2 linked regions of the Oryzias latipes genome follow. The protein of the gene in region 2 purifies or fractionates together with the protein of the main gene of each other region. This does not show direct contact. Links are inferred from orthologs where the notes say so. Each region holds a gene or a part of one and is shown on either strand. Other genes may lie near its edges.

What was found.
Region 1: the proteins of dkc1 (region 2) and H/ACA ribonucleoprotein complex non-core subunit NAF1 purify together in Homo sapiens (co-immunoprecipitation; 7 studies listed by BioGRID and IntAct, counting the BioPlex papers as one, with this or other methods). This does not show direct contact. The link is inferred for Oryzias latipes from reciprocal best matches to the Homo sapiens genes DKC1 and NAF1.

The regions. Positions count from the first base shown.
Region 1 is NC_019859.2:6,670,447-6,674,200, forward strand, and holds the start of H/ACA ribonucleoprotein complex non-core subunit NAF1, read left to right. Parts: upstream 1-1,199; 5' UTR 1,200-1,331; intron 1,332-1,712; coding exon 1,713-2,323; intron 2,324-2,455; coding exon 2,456-2,588; intron 2,589-3,754. UniProt on the Homo sapiens protein: RNA-binding protein required for the maturation of box H/ACA snoRNPs complex and ribosome biogenesis.
Region 2 is NC_019880.2:44,485-47,715, forward strand, and holds the end of dkc1 (H/ACA ribonucleoprotein complex subunit 4), read right to left. Parts: intron 3,099-3,231; coding exon 2,972-3,098; intron 2,697-2,971; coding exon 2,566-2,696; intron 2,377-2,565; coding exon 2,233-2,376; intron 2,162-2,232; coding exon 2,041-2,161; intron 2,005-2,040; exon of another isoform or gene 1,928-2,004; intron 1,862-1,927; coding exon 1,743-1,861; intron 1,663-1,742; coding exon 1,559-1,662; intron 1,365-1,558; coding exon 1,322-1,364; intron 1,052-1,321; coding exon 899-1,051; intron 829-898; coding exon 769-828; 3' UTR 549-768; downstream 1-548.

The sequences.
Region 1 (3,754 bases), on a different chromosome or scaffold from region 2:
AAAATTCAACAGCAAAACATCTACAAATGAAAAAATGTTGAGATTTTTAAAAGTTGCTGAATAAACTAAGTAACACTTATGATTAAACATTTTGGATTTCTTTACATCATTTCAATTGGTTAAAAAAAACTCCAAAAACAGTAGAACATATGATACATTTTACTCAAAAGAAAAAAGTTGATAATTAATTAGTCATGGTGCTGCAGCAAATAATTAGCAATGATATTCATTCATGAACCTGTCAAGAAACCAATGTTTTTTTTCATAGTTGAACGTGTTTTTACTATTTCTGGCTTTAATAAAAGCTGTAATTTTCTCTTTATTAAAAAAAATTGGAAAATTACATACTCAATCTAGTTATTTGGGGGGGGGGGGGGGGGGGTAAAAGTAAAAAGACCAATATTGGTACCTATTGTAACTGTAACAACAAAAATGATGTATTCACTTTATGGTCTCTACAGAAAAGCCAGTTTAGCTGCTCAAAACAACAGCAGAAAGAAGTTTAACGGACAACGGTAGTTTGGTGACAAAGATCTGCAAAACCACGATATGAATGGAACATTGATTTTGTGCGTAATCTCAGAGGGTGCAGCACAGGTCAGACAAGCCAACAGAACGAATTGAAAATCATTTCTAAATTTTAATCCCTCTAAAATGTAGCTTTTTCCCGGATTTATTCCATTGCGCACCCTCTCGCGCACATGCGGAAAAACAGAGCCCCGCGTGCAGCGACAGCAAACACGTGTCTGTTACTGAATCAAGTTCTAATGTGAACCGGAAAGACGAAACAATCTTCAAAATATAAGTCTTCAACTTTTAAAATTTTGTCTCGGAATACACAAAATATGGGTAGTTGTACGTTAAATTTTCATTGCTTAAGTAGCTTTAATTACTTTAATAATATTACTAGCTACCTCTTTTTCTGGCTGATCTTTTTCAAGGGTTCTCACTGCAATTCACTTGCTATCACTCAATTCTAATTTTCTCTCACACCAAACTATCACAATTTATTCACGCATCACATTCACAAATGTTCATTTAGGTATTTCTGTTGCATGCTTCCGAGCAACTATAACCTTGAAACTCATTTAAACGTCTTTAACCACTGTTCTTTCTTTGTACCGCGCTCAGATCAGGTCCAAACTATCTCCGTCATTGAAACGTCCCTCCGCTGGACTTTTATTTTGAAGGTAACGCAAAGGAAGAAGCTTCAGAATTCTTCCGCTTTGAAGATTGTTGAAGTGTAGATTCAGTTGCTAGTTTAAGTAGGCGACATTTATCCTAACTGAAGCATAATTTATGCCTTCCTGGAATGTTTAAGAAGTTTTAAGGTAACATTATATTATTTCTTTTGTGTTTTAGTAAACAAAATTTGTGTTCAGCATGATATTAGCTTGCAAGCTAATATGCTAATCTGTTTGTTTATACGTTTATTTTCTTAGCTCCTCTAATTCACTGGTTGTTGCTAATCTGCTAGATATCTGGTTGTTAAACAAAAATAGACTGTAAAAGTCTTCTTATTTTATAAAGAAGGTTTCTGATAAAATAGGTTTGGTAATGTTTTATAATGGTCGTATTATTAGCCTTAGCTTAAACGATCATGTACAGCTACAGGTAAAGTTTCGCTTTTTATTTTTTTTATTTATTTATTTTTAAGCAAAGAAAGCTTTTTAACATTACTTACTAACAAATTTAACTGTGTTGGTCGGCAGATGGATGCAACATTTCCAAAAGAAGAGGAGGATAAAGGATTAGATCAGGAGTTGCCTGTGCAGATAAATGAGAATGCAAAAGTAACAGGAGATTTTCACCAGGAATTATTAGTGCCAATAGAAGAGGAAGAAAATGTCACAACCGTGACAGATAATAGGCTGGAGTTACCAGAACAGATGGAAGAAGATGAGACTAAAAGATTAAGTCAAGAAAACCACCTGGAGGTAGAGATGAAAGAAGGGGGGCATGAAAGAAAAATTGGGGAAAGTGATCAAGTGTTACCAGGGCAGCTAAAAGGGAAGGAAGAGCCGAGATTACTCGTGAACAATGAACGACTTATGTTAAAACAAAAGGAGAAAGATGGAACATTGAGAGAAACTGAGCAGGAATTATCAGTGGTGGAAAAAGAAGAAGAGGAGGAGGAGATGGAGGTTTCTTTGGCAAAACCAGAGGCAAATCCCATTATGACCCTTAACAAGGCCACACCCCCATATTCAGAGACCCGTCCTGAAAAAACAAGAGATGAGCAGACGCCAGTATCCTTGGTTGCAATGACCGTATGTATGGTTGAAAACAGCGAGGATGAAGAGGAGACTGAAGATTCAGACAGGTACTCACACACACACACACAGATCAATGAAGTGGTAGATCTTTTGTTTTTGCTTTTTACATCATATAACATGAAATGAAGGCGCTTTAAGGGGATAAAGATGATTCTAAATCCTCTTTTTCCCATCCCCAGTGATAGTTCATCCTCTTCTTCATCTTCTTCCTCATCCTCCTCTTCGCCCTCCCGTCCCTTGTTCGAGGATGATGATGATGAAGGCTTCAGCCAGCCGGTCCCTGTCAAAAGTAAAGATGAAATCTGCTTTGAGGTCAGTCTTGACACTTTGTTTTGAAAGCTCAAATAAAAGCACAAGCGTGTTACATTTCTATAACCCTAAATTTGCAGCTAAATTCACACTTTTTTTAGATTTATTTATAATCTAGCATGATGTAGTGTTCATTTAAAAAAAAGTTTTTCAAAAAGAATTTTTTTTTAAAGAAGCGAGTGGATCACGTTGTTCCTTTATTAATGTCCTTATAGATATGAAAGGAAAGAGCGTCCATTTAAATTGAACCAACTTTTAAAAAGAAAAGAAAAAAACACCTTGTATTTTTGATAACCGATTATTCTAACATAAAACATGCACTCTAGCTTTTTAGGATTTAAAGACATTACTTTTGTTCTTGCTTTTTACGTTTTGTTTTCTACATTAGAAATCAAGTCTATATTTTAGATGTCACATTGCCAAAGAGGCTTGACAAATTTGTGCTGGCAGTGCAGAAACAAAAACAATGGTTCAAAATAAATCAAAAGCAAAAGATATTGGGAAAATCGCTTCTTTTAATGTTTTATCCAACCAATTATTTGCCTTCACCAAGATTATTTAGTCATTCAGTTTTTTTCGGATTTTGCAGGGCATTAAAAAGGAAGTAAGTGATCTTGAGGGCAACCTAAAGCAACAGGCAGATGGTTGGACCTGAACAGGAAAAAAAGAAAATATCAAATTAAAGAAGAATCTTCTAAAGGCCCGTACACACCGGGACGAATATTTGCCAGGCGTTATTCGCCAGCGTTTTTCGCCACGTTTTTTGTGTTCACACCCAGGCGATTTTCGCTGACGATGAGTGGAGTGAACATGCAATTTCATTCCCTGACATTAGATGGCGCTTAATGTAAAACAGAAATACTCCTGTACACAAGGTGGCGCTGCGCAACTTTATGCTTCTTAAAGTCGCTTTTCACTCAGAAGAAGAGAGCAAGTATTTACACGCTTGTCAGAATCAAACAAAGAAAACATGAATATTTCAAGCACCAGTAGCTCCAACTGGTGCTTCGTTCGGGGATATTTTAGAATGTCCGTCATTATTGCTTCGCGGCTGTGTGTAGACGCTACTTGGCGTCTATCTTCTTCGCTGGTATGTGTGCTCAGCAAGGCAGTTTTGTGTTTGAGCGCCCCCAAGTTGTTTTACTGTAACTTCAGAAGCTCCAGACACG
Region 2 (3,231 bases):
TCACTTAGACATTGTTGTATGTGAAATTGCATGACTTGGGGGGGGTCAGTTAGTCCAGGTGGTTTTGGGCATGGCCTCTCACTGGTTCCATCTCCTGACCAGCTGTTTCCTCTCTGTGGGCTTTCACTGCATCACTGCTTCTTCTCTTTCAGCGTTTGTCTCCTTAGTTTCCATCAATCAGTTTTTGGTGGGACAGTACCTTCCTCTCTCTCCCTGCTTCTACCTCGTCTGACCTTTCACTGAAATCCACATTCAGTGACTTTATCAGCCAAACTCATCCATACCGAGGTTGTTACAAATTGACCTAAAAACTATCAGAAACAAAACGGGTTCATGCCCGTCGGGTACATACTTCAGCACCTGCCCCCCCTTCTTGCCTCGTATTGAAAAGTACCCTTTTTCTTTAAATCAACATGAATACATTTGTGTTGAAGATACAAAAAATGTGGCTACCAACCCCTAGTGTTCCATCTAACCCATTTTCTTGTAATCCAGGGTTACGGCAGACCACAGATCTTTTTTTTGGCTCACCAGTGCACCATTAACTGTTCAGTTCCAAACAGAAAATTTATTTTATTTTGCCATAAAAAAGTAAAATATTTACACAAGAATTTGATCACTTCTATACAAAAACTCTTCTGCTTCTGAATGTTGTCAGCATGAGGTCGTTTCTGCAGGCACAAAACACGCCATCCCCACAGACGCCATGACACCGCCACAGACTGCTGAGGCCCATTAGAAGTTCGGACAAGCCCGTTTATGACATCATCACTCCGAGCCAGGTTCTTCTCGTTTCTTCTTTTTTTTTTTCTTGGCACTTTCTGTGACCTGTAGGAAAGGAGACTGTTCAGAGCTTCTGGATGGTCCAGCCCATTGTGTTCCCTCGTTTATTACAGACCTGATCTTGCACTGTGTCCGTCTCCTGTGGCTCCGCCTCCTCCATTCTGGACCGCTTCTCCTTTTTCTTTTTCTTCTTTTCTTTCTTCATCTCCTCTGGGGACGCGCTCGTGGGCGCCGCTTCGCCATCACTGCCTGATGCCTCCCTTTTCCTCTGGAACACAAAAGGCTGCTTCAAGCCACATTCGCTTCCTTTCACGTGGACTTCATGCAGAACAGAACCCAGGTTTATAGAGTTCCTGCATCATGTTCCACAGAAAAAACACTTCGCTGCATATAAAATAAGATATTCTAAATAAATCCCTTGGAACCAAAATCCAACTTTTATGGGAAAAGTTTATTCAGCAAAAACTGACAAATTAAGTCAAATTGGAAAGTTTAAAGCCGAACTGGAGCAGGTGACCTTTAGAAGCAGATCTTTTACCTTCACTGAAGAGTCAGGAGCTTCTGCTGCTGCCACTGAGACGCTGTGGAAACAGAACTCTGTTAGTTTGGCAGGTGATCAACACAGTAATGTCCTCAGGTGGGCTTCATGACACCAGTGCTGGAAGAAGCTCCAACTGAGAGTTTCTGTAGCAGAGCGACTCCCTCCAGGAGCACGGCAGCTCAGAGAGGGATAACTGTCTGCAGGTCAGACGGACTGCTCCGCCCACCGCCATACCTGTAGTCCACATAGTGCTCTTTCCAGTCCTGTGGCGTGCTGCCGTTGGGCTTTCCATGTTTGTCCAGGAGACCCTTTTGAATCATCGCCTTCTTCTGAGTCGCCTAACCAGAAACAGGTTGGTTGGTCTCAACCACAACTTAATAATCCAAGAACCAGCATGTAAAAGCAGGAAGTGTCATACCTTTGGGCCCAGACCCCACTTCCGAGGATAAGTGTCCCGCTCCATGATCACCCTTTTGATCTTTGCCACAAAGCCGTGGTCACATGTGGAGATGACGGCCGTGGTCATCAGGGCAACAGCTGGAGAGCAGAAAGCATTTGTCACTTATGTCTGCTTTATCCAGGAATCGAACGTTTGGACCGACAGGCCATCAGACAAGGGTGATAGATAAAAGGTCGCCACGGCCCGAAGGCTGCTGCAGCTTCTCTAGTCATCATGTGGCCTGGACACACCTGTACATGTCCTTCACAAACCTCACCTGTGCAAATGGCTTCTCCTTTGGTTGTTATGACAACAATGTCCTGGTTAACCTCGATGCCGTCTTCATACCTGAGCACACCTGGCAGCATGATTTTTGCTCCATAACAGATGGCGTTGACCTACAAAGTTGTGTTGCATCAGACCACACTGCACCGCCTCAATGCACTGAAAACCTTCCAGGAAGACTCACCGAACTGTCCTTCATCACCAGCCGCCGGTGCGACACCAGCAGCTTCTCCAGGGGGAAAATGACCCTTCGCAGGTACGTCTCGTCCTTGTTGTGGTCAAACTGCCACTGCGCGTCTAGAACGTCGTGCATGGTTACCATGTTGTCCTGGAAGAACACAAGCCCTCAGCGCAGATGTGGCAGAAGAAAGACTCCGTAGTTTGGACACACACCGCACTTCAGATTCTCAGCTGCCGTTAATGTTCCAGAGTCTAATTTTCAGGTCTGCACCAAGCAGCAGAGCTGCACTCAACACTCTGGACAGGTGACTTCACACCAACAGGTAACAGGGCTGACCTTCTCCCCCAAAACGCCAGATCGGACTCTCCTCAGCTCCTGCATCTGACCGCCAACGCCGAGGAGCAGCCCCAGGTGCACACACAGAGTCCGGATGTATGTTCCTGCTTCACAGCTCACCCAGAAGATGCCTGCAACACAACAGCAAAGCACGGCCGTCACCACACATCAGCGACTGAACTTCCAACTCCTAAAGCAGCCGCAGGAACCAGCACTGGGGGGCTTGGTGGGTCCTGTTTGTGAACAGCAAACGCTCCAGGTACTAAATCTGAAGTTCTCAAGCTGATAAACTTAAGTCCCAGGAGGTTCCAAGGTCTACTTTATCACCTGTCCAGGTGAGTTTCATCACAACCATCAAAGTGACGGATGGAGCCTAATATACAAAGTGGCAGTGCCGGGTTCTTACCCAGCCTTCGTTCCGGGTCATACTCTATCAGTTTGCTCTCATAGATGGTCCGGACTCTAAGCTGGCGCTTCACAGCAGCGATCAGTGGCGGCCGCTGGAATAAGGCTCCTGTAAGCGTTTCCAGTGCCTAAAATACATCAAATGATAAAAAGGGAGTAATGTTAGGGTTTACGTCATTATCATTTGCTTACACGCCATTATCACCATATTATTGTCTCAGTTCCATATTTCAGAAAGAAAACAATGACCTGAAATGTTCT